7 linked regions of the Ovis aries genome follow. The protein of the gene in region 5 interacts with the protein of the main gene of each other region in a pairwise test. Links are inferred from orthologs where the notes say so. Each region holds a gene or a part of one and is shown on either strand. Other genes may lie near its edges. The genes, in order: ORMDL1, ADTRP, ALG3, BCL2L1, CREB3, TMEM115 and APOA2.

The links.
Region 1: the proteins of CREB3 (region 5) and ORMDL1 interact in a two-hybrid assay, tested with the Homo sapiens proteins (2 studies listed by BioGRID and IntAct). The two-hybrid records come from large-scale screens. The link is inferred for Ovis aries from reciprocal best matches to the Homo sapiens genes CREB3 and ORMDL1.
Region 2: the proteins of CREB3 (region 5) and ADTRP interact in a two-hybrid assay, tested with the Homo sapiens proteins (2 studies listed by BioGRID and IntAct). The two-hybrid records come from large-scale screens. The link is inferred for Ovis aries from reciprocal best matches to the Homo sapiens genes CREB3 and ADTRP.
Region 3: the proteins of CREB3 (region 5) and ALG3 interact in binary tests that used the Homo sapiens proteins (3 or more experiments, as listed by UniProt). The link is inferred for Ovis aries from reciprocal best matches to the Homo sapiens genes CREB3 and ALG3.
Region 4: the proteins of CREB3 (region 5) and BCL2L1 interact in a two-hybrid assay, tested with the Homo sapiens proteins (2 studies listed by BioGRID and IntAct). The two-hybrid records come from large-scale screens. The link is inferred for Ovis aries from reciprocal best matches to the Homo sapiens genes CREB3 and BCL2L1.
Region 6: the proteins of CREB3 (region 5) and TMEM115 interact in a two-hybrid assay, tested with the Homo sapiens proteins (2 studies listed by BioGRID and IntAct). The two-hybrid records come from large-scale screens. The link is inferred for Ovis aries from reciprocal best matches to the Homo sapiens genes CREB3 and TMEM115.
Region 7: the proteins of CREB3 (region 5) and APOA2 interact in a two-hybrid assay, tested with the Homo sapiens proteins (3 studies listed by BioGRID and IntAct). The link is inferred for Ovis aries from reciprocal best matches to the Homo sapiens genes CREB3 and APOA2.

What each region holds. Positions count from the first base shown.
Region 1 is NC_056055.1:119,574,570-119,578,562, forward strand, and holds the start of ORMDL1 (ORM1-like protein 1), read left to right. Parts: upstream 1-1,193; 5' UTR 1,194-1,467; coding exon 1,468-1,490; intron 1,491-2,827; coding exon 2,828-3,008; intron 3,009-3,993. UniProt on the Homo sapiens protein: Plays an essential role in the homeostatic regulation of sphingolipid de novo biosynthesis by modulating the activity of the serine palmitoyltransferase (SPT) in response to ceramide levels.
Region 2 is NC_056073.1:43,811,480-43,815,779, reverse strand, and holds the start of ADTRP (androgen-dependent TFPI-regulating protein), read right to left. Parts: upstream 2,801-4,300; 5' UTR 2,671-2,800; coding exon 2,518-2,670; exon of another isoform or gene 1-2,517. UniProt on the Homo sapiens protein: Hydrolyzes bioactive fatty-acid esters of hydroxy-fatty acids (FAHFAs), but not other major classes of lipids. Show a preference for FAHFAs with branching distal from the carboxylate head group of the lipids.
Region 3 is NC_056054.1:203,711,449-203,715,703, reverse strand, and holds the start of ALG3 (dol-P-Man:Man(5)GlcNAc(2)-PP-Dol alpha-1,3-mannosyltransferase), read right to left. Parts: upstream 2,801-4,255; 5' UTR 2,779-2,800; coding exon 2,583-2,778; intron 676-2,582; coding exon 576-675; intron 483-575; coding exon 335-482; intron 226-334; coding exon 65-225; intron 1-64. Other genes in the region: ECE2 (endothelin-converting enzyme 2), read left to right, coding at 3,737-3,932. UniProt on the Homo sapiens protein: Dol-P-Man:Man(5)GlcNAc(2)-PP-Dol alpha-1,3-mannosyltransferase that operates in the biosynthetic pathway of dolichol-linked oligosaccharides, the glycan precursors employed in protein asparagine (N)-glycosylation.
Region 4 is NC_056066.1:60,937,206-60,941,333, forward strand, and holds the start of BCL2L1 (bcl-2-like protein 1), read right to left. Parts: upstream 2,801-4,128; 5' UTR 2,761-2,800; coding exon 2,197-2,760; intron 1-2,196. UniProt on the Homo sapiens protein: Potent inhibitor of cell death. Inhibits activation of caspases. Appears to regulate cell death by blocking the voltage-dependent anion channel (VDAC) by binding to it and preventing the release of the caspase activator, CYC1, from the mitochondrial membrane.
Region 5 is NC_056055.1:52,808,428-52,812,501, forward strand, and holds the start of CREB3 (cyclic AMP-responsive element-binding protein 3), read right to left. Parts: upstream 2,801-4,074; 5' UTR 2,655-2,800; coding exon 2,517-2,654; intron 2,402-2,516; coding exon 2,254-2,401; intron 2,179-2,253; coding exon 2,111-2,178; intron 2,000-2,110; coding exon 1,910-1,999; intron 439-1,909; coding exon 332-438; intron 224-331; coding exon 155-223; intron 1-154. UniProt on the Homo sapiens protein: Endoplasmic reticulum (ER)-bound sequence-specific transcription factor that directly binds DNA and activates transcription. Plays a role in the unfolded protein response (UPR), promoting cell survival versus ER stress-induced apoptotic cell death.
Region 6 is NC_056072.1:50,040,172-50,044,302, reverse strand, and holds the start of TMEM115 (transmembrane protein 115), read right to left. Parts: upstream 2,801-4,131; 5' UTR 2,370-2,800; coding exon 1,519-2,369; intron 1-1,518. UniProt on the Homo sapiens protein: May play a role in retrograde transport of proteins from the Golgi to the endoplasmic reticulum. May indirectly play a role in protein glycosylation in the Golgi.
Region 7 is NC_056054.1:112,658,664-112,661,921, forward strand, and holds APOA2 (apolipoprotein A-II), read right to left. Parts: upstream 1,759-3,258; 5' UTR 1,727-1,758; intron 1,572-1,726; 5' UTR 1,548-1,571; coding exon 1,496-1,547; exon of another isoform or gene 1,235-1,495; coding exon 1,102-1,234; exon of another isoform or gene 736-1,101; coding exon 618-735; 3' UTR 501-617; downstream 1-500. UniProt on the Homo sapiens protein: May stabilize HDL (high density lipoprotein) structure by its association with lipids, and affect the HDL metabolism.

The sequences.
Region 1 (3,993 bases), about 67 Mb from region 5:
TTCCTGGCTAGGGAAGATGCTCTGGAAAATGAAATGGCAACCCACTCCAGTATTGCCTGGAAAACACCATGGACAGAGGAGCCTGGCAGGTTACAGTCCATGGGGTCACAAAGGGTTGGTCACGACTTGACAACTAAGCAACCACGCATATATATAGTCCACCTTCTCTTACACCAATTTTGAAATGCCCACTGAAAGTTATTTCAGCATTACAAATAAACTCTGTGTATTGCGAAGGTAATAAAATTCAACTTCAAAGATAACTACAAATAATCTGATTTTTTTCCTCTTTTATCTTGAATAAGATCAATTCTCAAAGGAATTCCCAGGCGGTCCAGTGGTTAGGATTTCACTTCGCTACCAAGGTCCGGGTTCAATCCCTTGTTGGGAACCAAGGATTCCACAAGCCTCCCTGCAACCCACGGGGAGCGGCAAAATAAATAATCCCTTGGAACCCATATTTCCTCAGCAAACAAGTACCCGTCTTCTGCGTGTAGAGAGACCCAGAATGACCTAAGTAAAAATCATCGCCAACCGAAAAGTTTGCTTGCCCCACTTGCATGATGCTACTACATACAATATCACGAAGCCTACCCTCACACTCAAAGACAGGCTGAATTATGGCTGTCCGGAGGTAAAATTCTGCCCGGCAAACTTTAAGACCTGCACTCACAAGGATCTGAGGAGTGGGCTGAGACACCGTTTAGTCAAGAAAGCCCAGACACTACGGAGGCCCGCAGCTGGTGGGAGGCCGCTACCCGCGTGTGCGCGCCCGCGAGCGCCGCTGCGCCTGCTTCCCGCTCCGCGAGTGGAGAGGGGGAGGGGCGCCCCCGGCGGCCCCCGGTGCTCGCGCCAGACCAGGACCAGGTCAGAGGAGGCCGCTCTCGAGCCTACAATGTAACAATGAATGCCCGTTGGCCACACGACACTACCTGCTTGCTCGCGCGACGTGGGCAATTACAATCCACTAGCGGACCGGCCAGCGTCCCGACGGGAGCCCGGGCCCGGCCTCGCTGAGTCCCGACTCACCCACAGCGCGCGCGGGGCGGGGCACACACGGAGCGCACCGCCCTCAGTCCCGCCCAGTCCGGCGAACGTGGGATTGGCGCCGCCCTCAGCCAATCCCCGGGCAGCGCTTTCCGCAAGGAGCGCTTCCGCCAGCCGCGCCGCGCGGCGCGGCGCTGAGGCTGACCACTCGCATCCGGCCTGAGGAGACGCCGCCTTCGCCTCCGCGGCGCTGGTATTGTTTCTGTCCGGCCGCCGGGAGTGGGGCGGCGGGTGAGTGGCCACGAACGGCCGCAGGGGCTGGGATGCTGCCTGTGCCGTGGGGAGCTTCTAGCAGGCCCTCGGCTTGAGGGGAAAGGTGGACTTTGGCTCCATCCGCAGCGCCCCGTCTGGCGATGCGGGCCAAGTGGCCCCCAGGACTTGCTCCCCAAATCCTCGTCGTCGCGTCCCGGCCGTGACGGGATGTGCAGCTCCGAGAAGAAAGGGTGGGGAGTCGGGGCGGTTTGGCGATAGCACAGCGGCTTTTGCTGAGCTTCCACTACCCGGGAGCTCCGGCCGCTGGGGAAGGCTGCCCTTGGCTGTGTAGCGGGCGGTCGCTGGGTTCCCTGCATCCGCGAGGGCAGCGCCGAGAGGGTTCTTTGCTCTGTGAAGTCATTGTTTGCTAGTCCTGAAGTGGCGCGGCAGACTCCCTGGAAAGGTTTTCTGCCCTGGGGTAGGATCAGTCTTCGCCTTCCGCCTCAGATGTAGATTTTAAGGTCTTTCGAGCATTTAAAAAAAAAAAAAAAATCTGTCGAAAGTGGGAAAAGCACCCTGTGTGGTGGCATGTTCTAAGTACAATTTATAGCGTATAAAAATTATATATTATGTACGGTGGATATTTAGACTGGAAGACATATTTACACGTTTAAATTTGAGACTGACTTGATGATTTTAGTGTAACTTTCATCACCGTAAGCCTATAGATTTTTGGAGGGAGAGGGCCATTGTACTCTGAAAATACTTGTTGGATGGAGTTAGGATAAATTTCTCTCTCAGTGCTGACTCTGTAATGAAAACGGTTTGTGTATTTTTAACTCAGCTGTTCCCAATACACTGTAGCACGCCCCCCCCACCCCCCAATCTCAGAAAGAAAAAAGGAAGGGGGAAGAAGGAAAGAGAAAAAAACAGTATTTTAGGGACGGTGACCAGAATTACAACGTGCAGAAGACAGACTCCTTGTTTTAACCTAATTGTATCACAAGATTGAGAGAGAAACCTCATCCTTTGACCATGTAAAATTTCCACCTCTTTGTGTTTCTCTCATTTTCAGTGTTCCTGAAGGAGTGATTTGAACTCTGACCACTCTATGGATACATTGTTAGGTGTAAGAGTCTGGCTACTCAGAACAGACTGGTTTAGTTTAACTTTGTTCTTTTTTGCATATTAGTTTATTCTGTTGGTGAACTTCCTGAATTTTCACTTTGCTCTCATGATATAAGAAAATGTAGGTTTTCTCTTTCAGTTTGAGGTTTCCTGCCCATTGTTTCATTTAGTAAAACCAACATGCTTGACGACAAGCTTTAGGAAAGGAATTTTAACTTTATTATTTTCAACAAGAAGCATAAAAATAAGTCTTGTCTGTCTTAGCTTAGAATAGGATGTGAATAACTATTGACCTCTTGGGGATGTGAAAGTAGCATATTTTGGAGGGTCTGTTCTATTTTAGAACGATGAGGAGGAAAAAAAGTAATCCCAGTAGCACACTTATTTTGTCATGTCAAAATTAGGAATATTTGAGTTTCCAGTTACATCAGTGTTGATTCATTTCATTGCTTTTCTACAGCGCAAACATGAATGTTGGCGTTGCCCACAGCGAGGTGAATCCGAATACCCGGGTAATGAACAGCCGTGGTATGTGGCTGACATATGCATTGGGAGTTGGCTTGCTTCACATTGTTTTACTCAGTATTCCCTTCTTCAGTGTTCCTGTTGCTTGGACTTTAACAAATGTTATACATAATCTGGTAAGAATTTCACCTTGTACTAAACACTTAAAACCTTAAGGTTTAATGATTTTTCAGAGACTGGGCGGGGAAAAATGGGGAGTTATTGTTCAATGGGTAATGTTTTGTAAGATGAAAAGTTCTGGAGATGGATGGTTGTAATGGTTACATAACATTGTGAATGTACTTAATACCGTAGAACTGTACACTTAAAAATGGTTAAGATGGCGTATTTATGTTATGTGTATTTAAACAATTTTTTAAGAACCTTAAAGTTTTATATTAAAAGAAAAACACATGACTCAGTTTTTAAACAAACAGTTATATAAAATTAAACCATTTATATAGTTCAGTGATTTTTTTGTATCTATGACAGTTTTGAAAAATTCTTATCTCAAATAAGATTATATTTTTGTATCACTTTATATTTAAACATTGGACCCTTTTTATAAGACCTTTTTTTTTCTTTCTGTTTTATAGAATCTGAAAAAAAAAGTCATTTTAGCAAAAATTACAAGATGCTTTAACTCAGACTACTATAATATATTGATTAACCAGAATGCATCAGAAGTAATTATGTTTTTTGGTTAACTAGAATCTAATGAACATCTTTGGTTTAAATCCTTGTTAAGTCTTTCTAAATTGTATAAATATACTTTTCTGTTTCAGTGTAGAAATTTTGAGTTTAATCTGTCTTAAATGATTCAAAAACTTATGGTGCCTTAGCTTCTTCCTGTTAACTATTGCTTTTGTATTATATGATAGCTCTACAAAGTACCAGAGATTAGACCGAATACTCTGGAAATTGCCTATTTAAAAACAAAAAACCTGATAGTGACTTTTTTTGTCTTTCACAAACTATTAAAATAGAATGAAAGGGGAGAAATCTAGTTATTTGAGACTTTTAGTTGAATCCAGATTAACTCTATTTGTTTAAAGATATATCCAAAATGAGAAACTTAGAACTAAAACAGAAAAGTGTAGGAGAAATAGATGTTTTTTAATT
Region 2 (4,300 bases), on a different chromosome or scaffold from region 5:
ATTATTCTAATTCTACAAAATCATTTTTTTGTTATTGTTTTCTGTTTACTTGTTTTCATAAAATTCTATGATTGAAACAGGCAGTCACCTTGATATTTTTCAAGCATGGTAGAGCTGTACTCAGGCTTCCTAGGTGGCACTAGTGGTAAAGAACCTGCCTGCAATGCAGTAGACAAGGGTTTGATCCCTGGGTCGGGAAGATCCCCTGGATGGGGGCATGGCAACCCACTCCAGTATTCTTGCCTGGAGAATCCCACAGACAGAGGAGCCTGGGGGCTACAGTCCATAGGTTTGCAAAGAGTTGGACATGACTGAATCGACTTAGAATGCTCAGAGCTCAAATCTCAAATTTCAGGTCCCAAAGTCAGATAACCAGTGAGGAGGAAGCTGAAATTCCAGGCCTCTGTGAACTGAGCTTTCTGAATTTCCTCTCCTTAGCATTACAGAGAGTCTTTTTTTTTTTTTTTCTTACCATGCATTACGTCTGCCTGGATTATGATGCCAAAGAATTGGAATCAAATACTTATATTGCACCCTAGATTTAGGTTAAAAATTCCAAAACTTAAATTAGCATCCCCAAAGGATACAGCATTCTTAGCTTTTAACTCTAAAAATAATGTTACATATTCCCCAAATGTTTTTTAGAAATCTATTTTTCTCCCGTTCACTTATACTTCATCATTTCATTCATCCCATTGTGGTCAGCTGGGCTAGGAAGAGAAGCAAGGAGCAAGCGATGTGATTGGTTTGTGGATGGTTGAAAATGTGCATTTGCCATTTGGTTGGGTGATTTGTCCTTTAAGATGGAGCCTGAGCCTATAAAAAACTTGAAGTGGGATCTGAACGTGGCAAAATGTATTTGCTTTTCTTAGATAAATCTGTTAGTCTGGGTGTGCTGTAAAATGGCATTATTCCTCCACTGGAAATTGCACTTCCTACACAACATACGCCACTCTGCCTTCCCTCACAGACTTCCCCAAGCAAAGTTCAAAATCTCTTCTGCATATGTTGTCAATGTCATCAGGAAACCATGAAACCATGACTTTAGTTCCTCGTTTAGGCTCATCTGAGAAGCACTTCAAGGTAAGATTATTTTTTTTACCCCTGAGAAGGAAGGATTTATTACCTGCAGCAAGTAAGGAGAACACTTGGGGATCTCTCATCAAGTAGTGTCTCCCCAAATAGCAAAACTGGGGAAGGTTTAAGCTAAAGGAACCTGCATATTCATGAGGGGGCTTGAACAGAGGAGAAATAAACATCCAATTGGGGCAAGGACTCGTGGACACAGTAGAGGAAGGAGCGGGCGGGACAAATTGAGAGAGTAGCATTGAAACATGGACATCACCAGTTGACAAAAGGATTGCTAGTGGGAAGCTGCTGTGTAACACAGGGAGCTCAGCCCGGAGCTCTGTGATAGCCTAGAGGGGTGATACGGGGGGAGTGGGAGGCAGATTCAAGAGGGAAGGGATATATGTATACATATATCTGATTCCAAAGACATGGCATCTGGTCCCATCACTTCATGGCAAATAGACGGGGAAACAGTGGAAACAGTGGCAGACTATTTTTTTGGGCTCCAAAATCACTGCAGATGGTGACTGCAGCCATGAAATAAAAAGACGCTTACTCCTTGGAAGAAAAGTTATGACCAACCTAGACAGCATGTTAAAAAGCAGAGACATTACTTTGCCAACAAAGGTCTGTCTAGTCAAAGCTATGGGTTTTGCAGTCGTCATGTATGGATGTGAGAGTTGGACTATAAAGAAAGCTGAGCGCCGAAGAATTGATGCTTTTGAACTGTGGTGTTGGAGAAGACTCTTGAGAGTCCCTTGGATTGCAAGGAGATCCAACCAGTCCATCCTGAAGGAGATCAGTCCTGAATGTTCATTGGAAGGACTGATGTTGAAGCTGAAATACCAATATTCTGGCCACCAGATGTGAAGAGCTGACTCATAGGAAAAGACCCTGATACTGGGAAAGATTGAAGGTGGGAGGAGAAGGGAACAACAGAGGATGAGATGGTTGGATGGCATCACCGACTCAATGGACATGAGTTTGAGTAAACCTTGGAAGTTGGTGATGGACAGGGAGGCCTGGAGTGCTGCAGTCCATGGGGTCACAAAGAGTTGGGCACGACTGAGCGACTGAACTGACTCTGACTAATATCTGATTCCAGCTGTAGTATGGCAGAACCCAACACAACATTGTAAAACAATTATCTTCCAGTTAAACCTTTTTTAAAAAGAACAATTTTTAATAATTTTTTTAAAAAAGAGATAAGATTCTTTTAAAAATAATTTTTAAAAGTGTTTCACAATTAGTCAACACAAGAGGTAACTATGGATAACTCCCAAAGTGGGTTTCTCAGAGCAAATTGCCAAATAAAAGAGAATGCCCAAACTCACAAACTATGAAGAAGAAAGATAATGGAATTTTGGACTGGATAAAATCAAAGGGTGTTAACGTTTAAGGCACTTATATGAGAGACAAATAGCTTGCTTCCTGATGCGTACTTACCAGATTAAGCAGTGTTAGGTACTTCCATTTTCCCCCCTTTTGAAAGATTAGGGATATCTGCGGATCCTTTCCTTCTAGTGAGATATAAAAGTTGAGGAAGATATACCAGCTCAAGACAAACAAGTGGTATACGCACGTAGACGTCCTCGTCATGGCTAGGTCTAAGCAGAGAGCCGTGAGCTGCTTCCTTCCAAAGTGCTTGTAACAGCTGACGTCCTAGGGCAGGCGGGAGACGGAGCGCTGTAAAATACACCCCTCTGAGACTGACAACTCCAACACAGCTGGGAAGCTCTGCTTGTGCTTGTCAGTATTTAGGCTTTGAAGAGGGCAGGGAGCCATGATGCAAGAAGTGCCCTTTGCACTATTTGGCTAGGGTGGGGCATGATTCAACAACCTCATTGGTAAGTCAAGTCTAGTGAAATACCGTCACGGCCAAATACTCTCTTTTCTACCCTTTCCTTTGGGGAAAGGAAAGCGTGAGAAAGTTGCCGTAATATATCCTGAGAGAATGAGAATGAGGTTGGCAAACCTGCTGGAAGAGATCGTGGGTACGTTTAGCACACAGACGGGAGTAACTAGAAATGGGAAGGGTGTTGTAATCTTGTTCTGAAGGTCTCTGAGGCCCTCTGAAATCTAAAATAACCTTTGATCCTCTATCGATCAGCCCCAGGGTTTTAGCTGCCCCTCCCCCATCCCACAGATTTTTATCTGTATCCTAGAAAACCAAGAGTTACTGAGAGCTGTCCCACACACTCTATTTGCATAGGGATTTCTATTCCCTGGGAGGAAAGAAGTACAGCAAGAGGTCTGTAGCCAGAGAACAGGAAGAGACGTGTGGCCCTAACCCCAACAAACCTGAGTTCGGACACCGCTGGGAGGGAATGAGGGTCTCTGCATTGTCTTGGAGTGGACAAGAACATGCTCAGGCTGGGCTAAGTTTTCAGAACTGGGCCCTGCCACAGGCCCGACAGAGGGGACCTCAGAGAGGTCTGGAAGTGTCTACCTTGTGACATCACCAGCTCGTTTCCCCCGGGCAACTGGCTCCAAGGGTTCTGAGCAGATCCCTAAGGGAAGTGCCCCTGGTGCAGTTGGTAAGTCTGGAGTGGGCGGTGCTCGGTGATTTAATCAGAGCTCACAGGAACTAGGGGAAAGAATAGCAGGCACAGGATCCCAAACATCAGGCGCTAAGCACGAGGGAAGAGCAAGCCTGAGCCAACAGTATAGGGTCTGCATTGGAAGCATTCTCAAAGGAAAGGGTAGTCTGGGAAATGAGAAATATAAAATCCCACACACAGGTCCACAGCCTAAGTTAACACCGAATATAATAATATTGCCTAATATAGTACTTACCATGTGGGAGGTATTGTTCCGAGTGCTTTGTGCAACACTCTAAACACTGCTATCAACTATGTTCTGTTGTAACCCTCACTTTCAGATGAGGAAATTGAAGCCCAAGCTGAATACATTCAACAGAAACTAAGAGGCAGGTTGAGTTGCAGTCTGAACCCTAACCAGAGTGAAGTGAAAGTCGCTCAGTTGTGTCCAAGTCTGCGACCCCATGGACGGTAGCCCACCAGGCTCCTCTGTCCGTGGGGATTCTCCAGGCCAGAATACTGGAATGAGTAGCCGTTCCCTTCTCTGGGGAATCTTCCCAATCCAGGTATCGAACCCAAGTCTCCCGCATGGCAGGTGGATTCTTTACCCTCTGAGCCATCATGCCTGACCACAAAGGAACCATACTTGCTCTGTACACCCTCAGACGCCCTTTGCAATATTTCTCCAG
Region 3 (4,255 bases), on a different chromosome or scaffold from region 5:
ACTGGGGAGAAAATGATGGAAATACAGAAAATGAAAGAAGGGTCCACCAGGGAGGGGTGTTGACCTGAAACAGCAGCAGCCCCAGCTCCAATGCTGGGCGAGCAGGAGGTTGACACTGAGGAAGAGCAGCAGCATGGCCACTGGATCATTGAAGAGCCGCAGCACAAAGATGGAGTGGACACGATAAGAGGCACAGCACATGAAGAAAAAGACGAAGGGAGGTACCTGAGAGGTGGGCACAGTGGGGGACAAGGTCAGTTCACCAACCCTGAACCGTCCCCACTCCCCAGACCTCCCAGCTTGGGGGGCCCTGCTCCTGGTGGTGAGAACTCACCTTGCAGGTCTGGTGGTAAATCAAGAAGACAAGCAGCAAAGTGGCCAGGTAGAGCACAGCAAAGATGTGCTGGGCCATGCGGATGTCAGTGCCTCGGTCAGTGGCATAGTAAAGCCCCATAAAGATGTACACAAAGCCAGCTGGGTACCTGGAAGAGAAGGAACATGAGCCCAGGTCAAGCTATTCAGCCTGTCATCCAGCCAGCCCCTCCCATCCTCACTGAACCTCCGACCCCACTCACACGAGAGGTCCAGTGTCACCTTGCAGTTGAGTGTAGTCATAGGTGCCATTGATGACGCCCTCTACCTCAGCCATGTAGGCTTTCCAATCAATCTCTGTATCTGCAAAAGGACAGGATGACGTGATTACTTCACGGTCCAGAATTGCTCTGCCTCGCTCCATCAAAGCACAGAGTTTCAGCTCATTCTTGGGATTTCTATCATAATCCCATCTCTAACTGATCTATTCTCTGCACGAACCCAGGTATCTCAAAATCAAACATGTCTGTAATGGAACTCAGAACTTTCCACTCCAAATGTGGTCCCCTTCCTGGATTCCATGAATGGCACCATTAACCTCTCACTTGCCCAAGTCACAAACCTGGGAAACATCCTTGATACTTTTCTTTCATTTCCAACCCTCAGTCACCAAGTCCTGCCTATTCTTCATCCTAAATATCTGTCTCATCCTTCTCCGCTCAATTGGGTGTAACAATCTCTAGCCTCAATGGTGCAATAGCTCCCTAATTAGGCTCCCAGCTTCCACTTTCACTGCACTACATTTTATTGTCCACCCTGCAACCAGAGAGCTCATCCTATAATAGAAACATCACATTTCTCTGCTTAAAACCCTTCAGTGATTCCCCACTGCTCTTAGATAATAAAGACCAAGTTTTTTTTATTATTCCCATTTTTAGAAGAGAAAACTATGAATTAATGAGATTAAGTAACTAGCTCAAGATCAGTAAGCTAGGAAGGGAAGAGTTGGGATTGGCACACATGGAGCTCTAAATTCTTTTTATTTTTTTCTTGAGCTCTAAATTCTTAATCATCATACTATCTCCTTAACACAGCTTAGAGATACCTTCATGATGTGAAATCTCATCTCTTAATACTACCCTCACTTGATTTCTGTGTTCCAACTCTAATTATTTCATTTCTTCAAAGGAAGCAGACTTTCTCTTTTTCAATGGGAGCTCTTTGGAACAGGATTCTCTCCTAGAGTATAATCTGCCCCCCACCCCTTTCTCTCTTTCCTTGGGGAACTAGCTCTTATTGTTGGAAAAGGACTCTAGGAAGCCTTCTCTGACTCCTCAAGTCTGGCTGAAGTGCCCACCTTTGTCCATTATAGAACTTTGTCTAGTACCATTATGATGAATATAATGTAATGTAATTTTCTGTTAACTTATCTTTGTCCAGGTCCGCATACACAAGTAGGAAATCTGTCTATCTTTTTCACCACTATACCCTTGGCACCTAGTATGGTGTTAGCAATATAATAAGCACTTAGTAAATATGTAGTGAACTAACTGTCTTTAGCAAGTAAGCTTTAAATCCAGTGCTTTCTGCCTGGAGAGGAGTGACCAATAATGCCGAGCTGACTGTAACAAAATGCTATCACAGAGAAAATACTTCGAGACCTCAAAATTCAACAGATGAGGAGACTGAGACCCAGCAAGGGATATGACGTGTCCAAAGCCATAGAGACAAGCAGCAGCTGCTGCTGCTGCTGCTGCTGCTGCTGCTGCTGCTGCTGCTGCTGCTAAGTCGCTTCAGTCGTGTCCGACTCTGTGCGATCCCAGAGACGCCTCCTACCAGGCTCCCCCGTCCCTGGGATTCTCCAGGCAAGAACACTGGAGTGGGCTGCCATTTCCTTCTCCAATGCATGAAACTGAAAAGTTAAAGTGAAGTCGCTAGTCGTGTCCGACTCTTAGCGACCGCATGGACTGCAGCCTACCAGGCTCCTCCGTCCATGGGATTTTCCAGGCAAGAGTACTGGAGTGGGGTGTCATTGCCTTCTCCGCAGAAAAGCAGCAGCAGCCATTAATTTGGACCCAGGTTTTCTGGGGAAGATTAAGATCGAGTTTGGTTTTCTGTGGAGCAGACTTTGGATTTGGGTAAAAGATATTGGTCTGCAATTGATGGCTGAGTGGATCAGGGGTTTAAGTTTGAGTTCCGAATGTGGGTCCCAGTTTTTATTGGGGGTTCGGTCTCCCTTCCCCTCTTCCCCTCCCCCTCGGCGCACTCACATGCCACCCTGTGAATGACCCAGAAGGTGATGCCCACCTCCGCCAGGCAGAGGCAGGCGGCCAGCAGCAGCGTGTAGCGCGGTTCCAGCAGCAGTAGGCGCCGCTCTTGCCAGGCGCGCCGCAGCCACTGCCCGCACAGTCCAGCTGCCCGGGTTGCAGGACCCGCCCGGCCGCGTTTCCGCAGGCCTGCCGCCATCTTGCCGGTGCGCCGCTCTTGTGGGCCCGCTACCCCGGAAGCCCGACTCTTTGGTACCTAGGTTCCGCTCCCAGCGCCACGTGTCGCAACGGACTGAGCGCAGACAGGAGTTGTGTGAGTCCTTGTTTACGACTCGAAAATTTCCTGCTTTCACATCTGTCTTCCCTGATGGAGTGCACACTCCATACGAGCAGGAATAGTCTTACTCCTCAGTACGTACTTAGCCCTGGGCGCAAAGGCGCTAATGTGAATCGAACGTTTGCCCAGAAAAGTAACGTTTCTTTCTGCCCGCGTCTTGTCTCTTCCGCAACTCCCCTCCCCACCCCTGCCCAGCATAACACTTCGCCCGTGTTGATATCTGCGTTCATGCCCCTCTTCCTTGGAGAGCAAGACCCGTGGCCGCACTACTCCCGCCACCCCTCAGAGCCTTCCAGGTGCTCAAAACTGGGAAGAAATGAATCTCTTATTAACATTCAGGCTTCTTAATGGAGAGAGCTTGTCAAACTGAAAATGAGGTGGGTAGTGACGACCCCGTTGGAGAAGGAAATGGCGACCCACTCCAGTGTTCTTGCCTGGAGAATCCCAGGGACTGGGGAGCCTGGTGGGCTGCCGTCTGTGGGGTCGCACAAAGTCGGACACGACTGAAGCGACTTAGCAGCAGCAGCAGTGACGACCCAGAATGTGTGACACCATGGGTGTGGCTCTCAGAAGTTAGTGAGCAGTGCATCCAGAGAATTCAGCGTATGGATAATACGACTTTCCCACCCGGAAGATTCTTTCCGGAGCGCTTAGCAGAGGACGGAAGTTCCACGTGTTTATGTTGAGCAACTGCAGATGCCCGGCGGAGACACAAAGGCCACGCCTCCCATATGCCACCATTCTCATTGGCTACATTGGAGCACCACGCCCCGCCTAGAGGTGGGGGCCAGTTGCCCTCACTGCCCGGCAGCCGCAAGCAATGGCTTGTCTGGGGCCTTCCGCACCGGTGCCGGAGTTACCCGAGAAGAACTGCGGGTACCGCGAGGTCCAGTACTGGGACCACCGATACCAGGGCGCTGCCGACTCTGCCCCCTACGAGTGGTTCGGAGACTTCTCTTCCTTCCGTGACCTCCTAGAGCCGGAGTTGCGGCCATTGGACCGTATCCTCGTGCTAGGTGGGTAGTTCCGGGGCTGCCCAGTCCAGGTGGAGCTGGTTGGATTGGCCCCGCCCTCGCTCTGCCTGCCGCTCTCCGAGGACACTCCAGTCAGAAGTCAGGATCCAGTACCTTTAGAATCTCGGCAGTATTTCGCCGGGGCAAACAGGAGCGAAGAGATTCTTAGTCCCGGGACCTTCAGGGGAAAGACAGTCTCTCTGAGTCTGAAGGTGGTAGGTGATCCATGACCCCGTTACGAACTTTGGGGAGGCCGCCTCGAGCACTGGCGAGTTCAGAGGACCTAGTTCAAGTCCCAGCGCTAGTTGACTATGATTTAGGACAAA
Region 4 (4,128 bases), on a different chromosome or scaffold from region 5:
CCAGTGTGCAGCTCAAACAGAATGGTCCCCGAGAGGAAGTGGGCGGCACCTTCTACCCAAAGGATCCCAGTGTCACATGTTCTCTATCTCCTGGCCTCGGGAAGAACACGTGCCCAGAAACGGTTCTGATATAACTGGCTCTTCTGCACACATCCCCTCTGTCCACCAAGAGGAAGTAACACATGGTATGCTGTTGGGCAAAGAGACAGCAGAAGATGGAATGTCAATCCAGTGGTGATCTAATGATCTTGCCCAGTGTTGCTGTGTCAAAGACCTCTTTCCACACGCAACACTGGGTGACTAACAACTCTCTGGTCCAGGTGGCCCTCTTAGACAACTGGCTGGCAGGCCAGGAACCTCTCCCATGTTGCCTTTTGTTAACAGTTGGCCACAACCCACATGGAATTAGGACCACCAGCCAGAGATAACAGTGAGGGGCAAATGGCCCAAGTCTCTACTTAGGCCTCAGAGGGTGTGTCAGAAACGCTGGAATCCTGTCCCTCCTGTAGTAAGTTAAACAAATATTTGCCCCTAAAGAAAATCAAAGCAGGAGGGAAAAAGAGAGGTCATCACACAAACCAACAGGAACTATTTAATCATTTATTCCCCCAGGGAGTTCATTTACTGAAAGGCTTTCAAGTTGGGTCAGTCTGAGCCAAAGAAAGCCCTCCACCTTTACCTTCCCAGCCCCACCCCGGTCATCTGACCTCTACTCTGCTCTTTATAAGAACTGGCAGTGGGAAGAGTTGATGAAGTTGCAAAGAAATGGGAAATAAGACAGGGGGTGGTGTACCTGGAGGTCCCTTGCTCAGTGGTAAACTGAAGTGGCTGCCACACCCTAGGCCCAGCCTCTGGATAATTGCATTCTTAACATTCCTGAGTCCATGGTGCGTGGCCCTTTCCACCTCAGCTCCTTCAATAGATGACTTATTTTCCACAGCCTGCTCAATTTTCTGAAGGACAGAATGAATACCTCTCTTAAGCCCTACACCTCCCTGAGGCAGGGAGATAAGCGAGGAGATATGACTGAGTTCACTGCAAGAGAGCAAAAGCTGCTGACAGTGACCACAGGTAAAGAATCCCTCCACACCAGCTCATCCTGACTTGGTGATATCAGGGCAAGGGAATTCTCTTCCCTGGCAAAGGAATGAGGCACGACTCAGTTTCAGAAGGTGTACCTGGATCTGACAGTAACTACTAGAGCAAACTTCCTGTCACTATGCTCACATCAGCTCCAAGATTTACAAGGACTGCAAGGCAAGAGGGTTGGCCACATTTTTTTAGTGGAAGAACCTGAGGCTCAAGGTAAACTGGCCTGTCCAAGGTCACACACCTAGTTAAGTGACAGGGCTGGGACTCACATCTGTGTCAGTTTGTTTCTGAAGTCTGTCACTGAATCTCAATGTCCCAAGGAGCCCCAAAGATCAGGTTCTTGCATTGCCAGCAAACAGTGCTCAGTGAAGAGGCCCCAGGGCCATGGCAGAAAAGTGACAAGCATAACAGCTGGAGCTCCCCAACCAACCCAGGCAGTGAGGTGCAAAGTCCCTGGGCTGACAGCAAGCGCTCCGCAAACTGGCCAACCACACAGAAAAGTCGCATACTTTAGAGCCAATAAATATGGGGCACAGCACAAACACAACTGGCCCATTGGCGCAGCTTACAACCTAAAATCAGACAATCCTCAGCCATCCAGAGGGATGCAAAGCCAGGCCATGCAAACTCTGAAATAAGGGGAACCTGATTTGGAGGAGGGAAGCCCAGGACAGGATTGACAGCTCAAGGGAGTAAGACTGAAGGGGCTGGTGGGTCACTGATATTCACTATCTTCTCCAGGCATTCCACTCATCACCCCTTAACGTTGTGAGCCATTATGTCAGGGTGAGGGGTAACCTGTTACCTTTGCATTCTCAAAGGTTTGGGGCCAAATGAACACACAGGCTATGTTATCTTCTGCAGAGAAACTGGAACACAAGTATGACAGAGTAGGGTCACGAGGAAGACCAGAATGAAGATGTCTGGTCCTCACAGAACTAGGTCATCTGTATTTCAGAAGTTAACCTCTGTGATACAAAGAGGCCAGTTATGTCTCCTTAACAAACAATAATAATCACCCAGCACAACAGACACAGGGGAAAGGTTGTTGGGGATTTGACCAGAAGCCAAGGAAAAGGAATACATAAGGGGCGTGGTTCTTACCCAGCCGCCGTTCTCCTGGATCCAAGGCTCTAGGTGGTCATTCAGGTAAGTAGCCATCCAAGTTGCGATCCGACTCACCAATACCTGCATCTCCTTGTCTACGCTTTCCACGCACAGTGCCCCACCGAAGGAGAAAAAGGCCACAATGCGACCCCAGTTCACCCCGTCCCGGAAGAGTTCATTCACTACCTGTTCAAAGCTCTGATATGCTGTCCCTGGGGTGATGTGGAGCTGGGACGTCAGGTCGCTGAATGCCCGTCGGTACCTCAGTTCAAACTCATCGCCTGCCTCCCTCAGGGCTTGCTTCACCGCTGCCATGGGGATCACTTCCCGGGCATCCAAGCTTCTGCTGTGGCCGGTGGCTCCATTCACCGCAGGGCTATCCGCCAGGTGCCAAGATGGGTTGCCATTGATGGCACTGGGGGTTTCCATATCTGATTCTGTCCCTTCTGGGGCCTCAGTTCTGTTCTCTTCCACATCACTAAACTGACTCCAGCTGTATCCTTTCTGGGAAAGCTTGTAAGAGAGAAAGTCAACCACCAGCTCCCGGTTGCTCTGAGACATTTTTATAATAAGGATGGGCTCCACCAGTCCATTGTCCAAAACACCTGCTCACTCACTGGGTCTGGTCTCTGCTTAGTGGTTCTCTTCGAAGATCCAAAGGCAAGACAAGGTTCTGAAGGGAAAGAAAGAGCTTCAGGGGGGAAAAAATGAATATGCAAGCCATTTACCTACAATATCCCATTCCCCACTCCAGGTACTTGAACTGGGTTCTCTGCCGCTCTTATGAAGATATGGGTCTAGCTTCCCAGGTACTTCGATGAAGTCAATTTGAAAGCACCAGTGGGCTCTGAATCATCACACCGGCCTTTTTTTCCTCCCCTTTTATCCCAGCCACCCCCTTTTCTCTGAAATGTCTTCCTCGAAAAGTCACCCCCATGGGCAGTCTGCCCCCCACCCCCATAAACCCTCACCACCTACATTCAAATCCGTCTCAGGCGACGGCAGGCAGGTGCAGCCCCCGGAAGATCTTTTGTATCATAGGTGGGAGAGGAGGTGGCAGCGGGGATGCCGGTAAGTCAACCGGCCTCGCGGCGGCGGCTGGCAAAAAAAGCAGCTCCGGCTGGAGGGATCATGCGACCCGGCGAACTGAGAGCTCAGGAGGCGACACAGGAATTACGAAGCTCAAGAACCGGCCCCCTCGCTTGCTTCCTCCTCCATCGCCCCGATCGAGGGCGGCCGCTGCCGCGGCCTCCTGCCACCCGGGAGCCCAGCCCCCTCGCTCTTGCACGCCCCTTGGCTCTCCGCCTCCTACTGGGAGCTAGGAGAACTCTCTCGGAGGTGGCTGGTGTGAGCTTTAGTTTTTTTTTTTTTTTTTTTCTATTTCAGTATCAGCCCTGGGTGAGGCTTCCGAAGAAACCTTGAAGGGACTTCTCGATGGGGCTCAAGGTTTCGATGAGAAACAGAGGGAGGGGAACACTGCCTTGGATCTGCGGTCTGAGTTTGGAAAGGCCATCCCCGGGCCTTTCTGGGAGGCTGAAAGCCGGAGACCCCCCAGAAACGCCGCTGGCTTTCTTTGAATTCCCCAAAGGCCCTGGTAGTGGCGGTGGCAGTGGGGGATTGCCGGGTCCTCCATTCCCCGCACGGACACAATGGCCGCCGGCGCCCTGCACAAAGACCGGGCGAGGGTGAGGCGCCGAGCCTCTCCACCGGTCAGAGACAAGGGTCGAGGCCTGCTCGAGACCCCCCACAGCTGAGACTACGTTTTCCTGGGGACAGGCCCAGGCTGGCTTCTTGGCACCCCCGGGAGCTTAGGGGCCCGGGGTTGCACCTCTCTAGAGGCCGGGGTGGGTGGGCTGCGGCCTCGCGGCTTCCTCCGCGCGCTAGGCCGGGTACCCGCCTGGCCACCGCCCCGTTGCTAGGCAACCGCTC
Region 5 (4,074 bases):
CTGTGAGCTTCATGGAATCAGAGACCCACTAAAGACCAAGCATCAGACATATGTGAGAGATGCCCGGTGACAAATCAAATATGGAGCAGGAGAAAGACTGAGACAGTAGTAAGCGGGAGGGATGAGCAAACCCTGATGTGAAAGAGCTGCTTACAGATTCTGTTCCTCCAGGAGCTGTACTTTGTTCTGTAGCTCCAGATTCTGGGCTGTGTATTTCAGGACCCTGGAGGAATAACAGGGATGTGGGGACATGGCCTGTATCCTCCCTTCAAAAACCTCACACTTCCAATTACCTGTTTCTCCCACCCCCGAGTCCAGCTCCCTTTCATACCTGCTTTCTAAACCCCCCACATACACCTTCTTCTTCCTACGGCTCTCTTGAGCAGACTTTTTGTTTCGAATCTTCCTCCGCACTCGTTTCAGGACTTGTTCCTCCATCTGGGAGAAGACAGGAAAAGGGATCCCATCAGAGGAACATTAGACCAAAGAGTTTGAAGGCAACCGAGTTCAATCTTCTCAAAGCAGAGATTCCTTCTACAATTTCCCTGACCAATAGGCACTCTGCTTCTGTCTGAATGCTTCTGTCCTCACAAGCCAAACCATTGTAACAATTTTGTTAGATAATTTTTTTTTAAAACCTTCCTTATGAGCCAACATCTGCCTTTGTTATTTCTACCTGTTGGACTTACCTAGCACCTAATCTCTGGGGCCATAATAGAACAAAGGTCTTCAGCTATTTTAAAGCACTTGGCATTTCTTCAGAGTTAAAAAAAAAAAAAAAAACTGGGCAAAAATTTTAACTCATCATCTTATCTCTTCTCAGGATGGACTGCATCTTCTTAATATCTGTCAAAGATAATAGGCTCAAAACTTAAGAAGCTTTTTGGCCAATGTAAAAGAAAACAAGATAGTTACTGCCCTTCTAGTGGCAACACTATTAGATAACTGGTATCTGATGATACAACTGGGCTTCCCCAGTGCCTCAGCAGTAAAGAATCTGCCTACAATGCAGGCGACTCAGGAAACACAGGTTCCATCCCTGGGTTGGGATGATCCCCTGGAGAAGGAAATTGCAACGTACTCCAGTATTCTTGTCTGGGAAATCCCATGGACAGAGGAGTTTGGGGGCCATAGTCCATGGAATTACAAAGAGTTGGACACGACTTAGCGACCAAACAACAACAACTAAATCTGATGATACAGCTTCTAAACCCCATTCTCTTCCTTAGTAGCCATATCACACTGTTGACTCAACTTGTACTTTTTTTTGGCCACACCTCGCACTTGTGGAATCTCAGTTCCCAGACCAGGGGATTGCACCCTGGTGCAGACCAGGATTGCACCCTGACCCTGAGCAGTGAAAGCACAGAGTCCTAACCACTGGATTGCCAGGGGATTGCCTCAACTTATATTTTTGAGAAATTAAAATTGTTAACCTTTCTGTTAACAGACATTGATTTCATCATAGTATCACAATACTGTGCATGTGAAACTGCCTCTCATTGCTTGAAACTCCAAATTTCACATTTACTCTTGTTATACTACTTAATTGTTATACTACTTGTTATACTACTCTAATACTTGATTTACTATTCAGCTACAAGTAAATTGCATGAAACCAGTGAAATATAAGTATCAGAGCCCCGCGCTTGTACAGTACTTTCCAAATCCCTTTACTAATATTACCCTGATAATTTTGAATTCTTAGTTAAAAAGAACACCAAAATTTATAAAAGCACTACAAACCAGGATCTGTCCTTGCAAGCAGTATACTAACCACATGCCCCAGCTTCCTACTCAAAAATGTGCTAATCTCTCACCTCAATTCTTTTTCAAGTTACTGATACAAAATTAACAGAACTGGCCTACTTGGAACTCACAACCCCCGTCCCCGCGATGGGAGACTTACCTTAGTGAGTGGAAGCATCCCAGGCAAAGTAAGCCCCTCCTTCTCCAACAGCCTTTTCTCCTCCTCAGTCAGTATCAGCCTAGCAATCTCCTGCGGTTCCGGAGAGATGGGCAGCAGAGTTGCAAAGGGATTTCAGAAAGTAACGCGGAATACTGCCCCGACCCGCGCAATACGGAAATAACCCTCCTATAAGTCAAGTACCTGATCTGCCGGCTCCTCCACACACAGTGGAGTCATCTGAGTCCCCTCTTTTCCATAGCTCTCATTATCTGCAAAAGGGAAAATATGAGTAGTCAGGCCTCGGAGTCCTCTCCTTTCCCAAACTTCACTTATTTCAGGCTTACCTAGATCTATGGAGACATGCTCTTGTGAGAGAGAATAGGTGTGGTCATGCTGGACAAGACAGGAGTTAGAGCTGCTGAAAACGTTCAACGATGATGGGGGACTCGGCAGGCAGCTCAGGAAATCCTCCACGTCCCAATCGCTCAGAGACTGCACAGGGTTCAAATTGACAGGCTTTGACCATCACCACCCCCTGCCTCAGGGACACCCCTACCCCGCCCACAAACCCGCCTCACGCCTCCCCGACTCAGAGCCCCCCACTCGCCTCAGAAAGTGGCAGCTCCCAATCCGGCGGAGACGCCAAGGCCTCGTCGGGCGCCGCACCCAAACCACCGCTTTCCTCTAGCAGAAAGCCTAGCAGGTCACGGTCACCCGGGTCCAACGCCAGCTCCATATGAGACATTTATGGAAAAGATGCGCAGAAACACAGGAGTTCACCTCGCCACCCGGACCCTATCCCCAACCAGGCGTAACCGCGACGGACTGTCAGTCGGCCCCACCTATCGGCTCTTCAGCGGCGTTTTCCTCCTAGCTGCTGGCGAAGGCTCTGAAACCGGGACACGCCTTCCAGACTCCACTCCCCGCTAGACTTCCAACAGAACACAAGTGACGCACCTACCCGCGAGGCATGCCGGGAGTTGGAGTCCCCCACCCCACCCCGACGCGGAGGCTGCCGCTGTACGCGCCACGTCCAGGGCGCGATGCAAATAGAGGGGACGTGCCTTCCGCCTCCGCAGTCCCTGAGGGCGGGCATTCTGAGGAAGCGGCTCCGCCCCGGGCTAGAAAAAGGAAGGATTACAGCCTAAAAGGGAACTAGGGCGCAGTTCTGGCGCTTCCTCGGGACTGCACCGCACCCTCGCTTCCGGCTGGGGAGGGGCTGCCGGTCGTCAGCGGGCTCCCGAGCATCGAGAGCTGGGGCCAGAGCAGCTTCCTGCAGTGCCCGCGACCATAGAGCGCGGGCCCAGGGCGCCGCCCGCGGGTGGGGGACGTTCCCGGGACGGAAGTGGCCGAGAGTGTCGAAGGGAGGGCGAGGCCGCAGCCCGAGAGCCACCGGGAGAACGAGCGGGTTAGCGGGCCGGCGGGCGGGGCACAGAGCCGGGCAGCGCAGGTAGGCCGGACCGGGCGAACTGGGGCCTCAGGGTGGGGCCGCGACACCAGGCCTGGGAGGCGGGCGGGCAGGGCCCCTGACTTCTGCGTCTGTTTCGGGTCATCTTGGAGAGGTTCGCGTCCGGTGTATCTCTGCTTGTGCTCTGAGTTAAATAGGCAGTTTTTCGGCAGCCAGGCCCTTCCTGGAGCAGTCCTCGGCCTAGGATAGTTTAGAGGGAGGGTGAGGAGTGGGTGGCAGTGTGACGCAGGGCGGGGATCGGCTTTGAGGTTAGCTGATAGCGGGTACGTGAGCAGGAATGGGTGAGTTGGAGATTAGGTGGAGTTGGGTTTTAGGAGTTAAGGTTAGCTTTAGGAGTGTGCAGCTGGGGTTAAAATTTAGATTTATTAGTGTGAGGTGCGTTTTGTGTAGGTGAGGTTTGGATTAAGGGCATTATTTTGTTTTCTATAACGACCAACATTAGAGTTCAGGTTAAGGGTCAACAACAGAAACTAAGTTAGAAGTCCAGATTTAGGGATTAGAGAAGGTTAGCATAGCCAGTACAGGGGATAAACAAGAAAGGGGTGAATCAGGAATCAAGTGACAAATGAACTTTAGGTTTAGGGATGAAGATTCAGGGTTAAAGGTCCAGAGTTGATGCTACAGGTAAAAATTAGATCAAAATTAGGGATCAGGGATTGGATTCAGGTATGTGGTAGGACAGGGATGCCTGTCAAAT
Region 6 (4,131 bases), on a different chromosome or scaffold from region 5:
GCAAGAGATCAAACTGCTTGGTAAAGTGACCCCTATCCCGAAGCAAGGTAACAACCACAAGGCTATGCCAGGAACCCCCTTCCTGACACCACACCCCAACATGCCTCCCACTGTCCAGTTTCTTGGGGCTGTGAAGTTTTTTCGAATGTCCAGCCAACCCTAACAATCCAAGATTTCTCACTAGAGGAGGGGCCACCACTGTGGACTGGGATCACCCGAACATCTCTGAGAACAGTTCAGTTTCCACTAGGCCCAGCCCTTCTGGCTGCATCTCCTCCACCAGTTAAGGTTAAAGATTAATAAAGAACTCAGTCTCTAGGATTGAGAGCCACGGAGACACAAACTGTAAGGCCCACAATCAAGCTCTGTGGCATGCCATGTGTACTAACACCTGGCACCTTGGGCCACAGTAATCTGGCCTTCTCTAGTTGGAAACTCCTTCAGGAGAGGGGTGTGTCCCACACGCCAAAGCCCCAGTGGAGAGGAAGCACTGGAACAAGTCCAGCTGAATTTGTAAAGTTGCCTGCTAAGAACTCATCTCACAGGTATGCAAAAGCAGAAGCCTTTTACAAATGCACAGAGTTGGAACAGAACCTGCTCTAGATTTCACAATTCAAGTAATTGCATAAAAAAACAAAAACGCAAACAACAACAAAAACCACTCAAGAATAATGTTAGAAACAGAGCTGTGCCCACTCTGGTGAGTCCATAGGCCTGGGAGAGAGAAAGAAATGGATTAAAAAAAGATCTGTCTTGCCCTGGCCAAGGTGCAGTAAGTGAATAATTCAGCTGAGACTCCTGATGGTGCAGATGGCTTGGTTTACAGATAATGAAAAGGCTGTCTCCATTCCCTGGTGTGGTCAGCAGGCTCCCTCGGTGGGTCACGTGGCTGTCCCCTGGGTTTGGTGACACATGCCTGCCAGAGTCGGTGTACATGGGCCAGTGGTTGTCTAAGTCTAGTTATACCCCAGGCTTCCCTGTTAATAAATAAGCTGCAAAGAAGCACGACATCTGAATTTAAGGCCCAGGAAGAGGGTGGAGTCCAGCACTTGGAAACTGGGGTGGCCCCAACCACCTCAGAAGGATCCCAGGTCTCCTTCCCTGTCCCTCTCTCACAGGGGAAAAAGGACCAGCGGGTTGCTTCTGGCTCCCACAGGACCAGTGTCAAGAATGCCAAGATTCTGAGACAAGGCCAGGCTTATATGTACCTGGCTCTCCACTAGTCCTCACACAGTTCAAAAGGAAGCAGGGCGTTTCTTGAAACTTAAGCACCCTGAGTGGTGAGAAAGACAACTTTTACTCCCTAATTTTGGAAAGCAACGTATGCAGCCCAGATACCGAAGTGTTGAGATCAAGGCCACAAACTGGATTTTCTCTGAGTCTGCCCCCAACATCTTACTGTAAGCCTGCATACAGCTGCCAGCCTACATACAGCAAGCAAGCACCTCAAAAGATGGAATGTGACCTGATCTGTAAGATTCTCCTAGCTCAACAAGGTTTTGGAAGATTTCACAGTACCTTCTCCGCTCTGCATCTTGAGGGTCTGTGCCTGGGAGGCTGATGGTAATGGAGGATGGGGCGCCCACATCATAGCGCTTCACTGTCTTCTGGCATATCTTTACTTTGACCAGGAGGCCATGCACCAGGTTTGCCAGCAGGCTCACCACAGGCTGCAGGATCTCGGGGAAGAAGGTGGCGAAAGCAAAGTGGTCGGCCATGTCCCCTCGGCCTCGGCTATGGCGCTGGTAGAAGCGAAGATACACCCAACTGGAGATCAGCCCAAAGCCATAGGAGGCCAGTGCCGGGCTCTGGAGCAGTGTGGCCAGCCGCAGCAGCAGCAGCAGCCCCAACAGCAGCATGGGCACCACACTGACACGCACCTGGGGCACTCGCAGGACCACACAGTCCCCCATGGTTTGCTTGAGTGCCACCAGGACACCACCTAGGAAGCCCAGGGCGCCGTGGATGCGGACAGTGAAAAGGTAGACCAAGTTGAAGGAAGCCATGTAGGTGAGGAGGTAGGCGAAGGCCCCCAGTAGCCCCACAGACACGTTCACCACTGAGAAGAAGATGAGCAGCTCCAAGGCCCCCCAGAGGGGCTCCAGCAAACGTCCAGCTACCACTACGGTGGCCAGGCTGATGGCCACATCCCACACATGCTGTTCCATCAACCCATGGGTAGCCAGGGTCCAGATCCAGAAGTTGGGCGGAAAGAGGTAGCCTGGGGTGACCGCCAGGCAGCCCGTGTCCACGGCGAAGGACAGCAGATACAGAAATAGTACCGCCGCGCACAGAGCCTTCACCACCACACTGGCGCTGGACAGAATGGCCCCCAAGTGTTGGCGGGCGCCCGGTAGGGCGCGCTGCATCTTCTTCGCGGGCGTTGGCCTGAGGGAAGGGTTTAGTGGGCTAGGGGCCTCCCCGGGGCCTCTTCCCAGTCCGGCCCCGACGGGAGGCCCGGGCCCGACCTAGTCACTGGCCTATGGCCCCGGTGAAGGCTTCTACTTCCGGTCGGGTCGACTCCGGTCCCAAAGGGCAGAGCCGGGCCTGGTCGGTCGCGGGGCCGGGGCCTAGGCCCCTCGACGGGGAATCTGAGGAAAGGCCCCGAGCAGCTTAGGCACCACCGCCTGCCCGCCCGCCCTGTGTGGCCACAGCGCCGACCGGGCTGGCGGTGATCTCAGGGCTCGATCTCCTCCATCCACTCTGGGGCCTCTTACGGTCCGCGCGGCGCGGAGACTAGTTCTGGGCCGGAGTCAAGTCTGGTCAGCTCCGCCTCGGCCTCGGTCTCGGTTTCGACAGTACCTCCTCCCTTCTCAGGCGCCGACAAACAGGGCGCTGCGCCTGCGCGCCCCCGACGGAGGCAGGAAGCCCTCTGAGCGTCGGCCTTGCGGCTCCGCGGCATGCTGGGACATGAAGTCCTCGGCCACACTGGGACCTGCGGCGATCAGGGCTCTGGGTAGAACAAGTCCCAGGAGGCTGTGCGGCGGGAGAGGCGGGTGTGCTTGGGAGTTGTAGTGCTCAGGACCGTGGTCGCCGGTTCTCCAGACGTGGGGGGAAGGCGAATGACCTCTGGAGAGCCGCGAGAACCAGCGGCTGCACAGCTGCACGCCATGCACTTTCTGAATTTCCCGGGAGGCGTGGCTCCATGTCTGACCGTACATCTGAGTGGGTGTGTCCTTGTAGGCAGGTGTGCGAGTTAAGAATGTTGGATGACCGGGCGCGAACTCCTGGAACTTCCACGGTCGGGTGTATGCCTGACCCAGGTTGGAATTCTTGCTCTGTCATCTGACGGATGCGTGGCATTGGCCAAATTCCCGAACTTTATTGAAACTCAGTTTCATGGACCGTTGAATGGAGATGATGACGGGACCTACCGTGAGGATCCAAGGGGACTGGGATGTAAAATGCAGTCCACCCTGGTTGCTCAGCGAGTGTGCTGCCCATGCTGCCCTTGTGTACAAGTGAGGTGGAGCCCACACTTGAACTCCGGTCTCCAGCCCCAAAAGGGGTGAGGCAGGACCTCTCTCAATGACTCTTCCTCACCCAGTCAATGGATGATCCTGATGGAGAGGTCTCTCCACACAAACTTGAATCAGGCTGGCCTTGGACCCCTGTCTCACTGCAGTGGTGGCTTCAAGCAGCCACCTGAAGCTACCTGTGCAAAACTGGATTTTTAAAATGTGCATATAATTAATTATGTAACAAAGCACATTTTAAAAGTACAGAATCCCTTCCTTTCCACCAGCAGTACAACTGCTGATGTGTGCATAGTCTTCCAAATCACACGTGTTGCTATGCCTTAACTTTGGGGTCTGGGTTCCCGCTGGATGCTACGCAGGGGTAGGGTTGCTAGATTTAGCAAATCAAAATACAGGCCAATGAGATTTGAATTTCAGATAAACAATTTTTTCAGGATACATGTGACTCCAATTTTTATAGTTATGTCCCATGCAATGTTGGGAACATACTAAAAAATATTAATTATCTGAAATCCCAGTCAGATTAGATGTTCTGTATTTCACATGGCAGATCTAACCCAGGACCTCTGGGGCTGTTGCCGAGCATGGGAGCTGTCTCAGGGACTGCTAGTCTTTGCTATGTGGCCAACCATTGTGGAGGGTGAGGAAAGGT
Region 7 (3,258 bases), on a different chromosome or scaffold from region 5:
ATTCCAGTATTCTGGCCTGGAGAATTAAAGAGTTGCACATGACTGAGGGACTTTCACTTTCTTTTCAGGGGAGAAGCACAGTGTCCCCTGGCTCAGAATGGAGGGGAGGGGCCTTGGGTGACACCTCTGGGCTCATTTGGGGAAGCTTTCTCCTCTTCATAGTGTGGTAGAGGAAATTCTGAGGGGTGCTCTCATTTCCCATGACCTCTAGGAGTCTAGGGATTCAGATTATGAATTTTTTGTGCCTTTCAAGGTACCATGTCCAAGGCAAAGTCTCTCTAGGGCCTTCCCAGGCCTGTAAAAAGATTCCCTGGGTTTGGAGAAGAGTCACCAGCGCCTCCCACTCTGTCATTTCCATCACTGGTCTCGTGAACCCTTTCTCCACCCCTTCACACCAAAACCCTTTCCTGTTAGAAGCAGATTTCTCTTTGTTTTTCGTCCTGCTCTTCCCCGACAACCCTTATTTCTCCTGGTTCCCCAAAACAGACCAGGCTCACAACTTAATTCCTGCAAAGTTTATTGTAGAAAACAAGGAGTGGGTAGGGAGAGGAGTCTCAGGCCTGGCCAGTGGGTGTTCCAGGGACGAACAAGGGGTGGGAGGCCCGGGTCTGCACACCTCAGCGGGCGGCAGGCTGCTTTTTGGGGTCTATAAAACTGCTCAAGAAGTTAAGCAGGTCAGTCCCAGCCTTCTTGAACAGGGGCGTCAGTTCCTCCTGCGTCTTCTCAAAGTAGGCCCTGGCAACGTGAGGGGTTAGAAATGAGGGTGAGGGACGGGTACTGGCCTTCTTGTGGTGGGAGGTGAGACCCAAGGCCCCAAACCCTAGTGCCTGGTCTGTCCTGGCACGGTGAAGCTCCTAGGAGGGGAGGCGAGTTCTCAACTGGGCAGAGGAACAGAGAGAGAAATTCGAAGCCCAGTTCCTGCTGCCCCTCCCTGTCGAGGAGGTCTGAGGGATCTGTAGGGTGATGATGGCATTTCCTCTACAATTAAACCTCATCCTCCCGAGCCCCCCACCCCTGAGCTCAGTGCCCTGTGGGATCTCTGAACTTCGCCTCCTGCTCTCCACAGCCCCCTGGTCCCTGAACCCCTTTGCTGAGACTTACTTGGCTTGGGTTTGAAGCTCTGAGCCCTTGGCCTTCTCCACGAGGTCCTTGCCATAGTCGGCCACAGTCTGGAAGTACTGAGAGACCAGGCTCTGCAGATTTGGCTCCTCAGCCTGTCTCCGAACCAGAGCCCCTGTACATACACAGAAACACACACACGCACACTCTCAGTTGAGCCCTCAGCAATGAGTCCCACATCTCTGCCAGTATTCAGCCTCAGCTCTCAGCCCTCTCCCCAAACAGGTATCCAACTCCAGGTCTTTGGATGGGTTTTCTGGGCTTTAGAGAGGGGATGATTTTCCTTTTAAGCTCTCTGGTTGCCAGACCTGGGCATAGGAGCACAGACAGTGGGGCACCTTCTCCTCCTTGAGACCCCTCTTCAGCTCACACCCACCTTCAAGGCCACAGATGGTCAGGAGCAGCACAGTCAATGCAAGCAGCTTCATGGTGTTGACGGCAGGGAAAGTGGCCTGTGAACAGTTGGGGGCAGGGGAGGTCACTGACGCTGCATGGGCTTCCCCCTTCCCCTGCGACCTGCTCCCTACACGTCCACTCCAACCCGGCTCCCTCCTGTTCTACCTGAAGTCTGTGGACACCACCCTCGCCTCTTACTCCCTTACTGTACCTGGTCAGGGATGCTGTCCTCGCCGTCTGTCTGGCCTGGCCGAGGAGGCAGGGGCTATATATCTCTGTGCTTCCCCACTCCACCCCGTCAGGTGATAAGGACTTTGGAGGAGTCCAGTGGGGCAGGGACTATGCTGGAGTAAACAAGTTAGAGAAGTTAGGGGAGGAAAGGCCAGCATGTAGGAGAGCCTGGTGATGGGGTCGGAGGGAGGGCCTTAATGGATGCCAAGGGGATACGTTTTAGTCCTATTCAAGACTCATTCCTTTGGGGCCTGGGACCAGTAGTCCTTGGATCTGAATCCTTCAGTAAGCAGGACTTCTAGGGTTTTCTTCTCTTTTTTCCTGGAAAACTTTGATGTATCAGATCTGACGACCTCAGCCGTTGGTATCTTCGTACCATTATGGGTAAATTTCATCTCCCAACCCTACCCCCATTCACTGAAACTTGGCAGAGAGGTATTGGGGGACAGAAAAAAAGCAATAAAATCAGGGACAGGGATGAGGGGAATGCAGGTTAGGAGAATGAGGATTAGGGCCAGAGGCCAGGTGTGATCGACTCTGTACTTTTTTGAGTTAATGTGTAATGAATGAGATGGGGGAGAAAACACTAGAACCAGAATGACCTTCCTGAGTGCAGATCAGCAAGCACAGCCCACCCCCAATAAAACAAATTCAGAAAGCAGCTGCTGCCCACCCAACGCACCTTCCCCCACCCCCCCACCCCCATCATTGGCGTGCTCTGGCAGGATAAAGGTTGAAGGTCTCTGGGCATTTGATCCCCTTATCAGTTCCAGGCAGTGGTCAGCCAATACAAGTCAGCAGGGGCCATAACATCTCTCCGACCAAGGTCCTGGCCCTTGTCCCTGTCCTGATTGTGAGGGAGGACAGAGATGCACTCCCCAGGCCCAAGGCCTTTGGGTGAAATCAGCTAAATAGAGATCACAAGTATTTGTATCTTTCATCCTTTGACCTCTTCCTGAGAGATAGGAGTGGTGATATGAGAGCTAGTAGAGGAGGCGACCAGAGCCTAAGAAATTTTATTCTATCTTATACTATTCCCCTGTGGAGCACTTGGTGCTTGAAGGGGAGCTCCATTGATTTGTCCCTGGCTTTGGAGTGGAGTGCATTTGAGGGCAGGAGCCTGTATTTCTCGATTTTATTTGCCAACTCTGCCTAGGGAAACTTTTCACTTTCTTTCCTAGGGAACCAGGGAAGGAAAGATCAACTGCAGAGGTCATGTGTTTCAGGGACTACTTCTGCTGGAACTCAGGTTGCAGCCCCTGCTCCTCTACCCCAAACTCTCACACCCATTCCCTTTCTACAGAGAGGACAAGAGGGTAAACTTTAAAAGGTTTGGACCTCTAGGAGGGAGGGTGGGTCCCTTTTCCTACGAAGAGCTGTACCTATGAGTGGAATTCATCTGAGGGTGTACTGTGTACTGTGAAGGACTGCGAAGTGGAGTCCCCAGGGGTTCGTACGGGTCTGGGTGGGGGCGGGGCCCCTAGGAGAGATATGAATCAGTGTTCGAAAGAA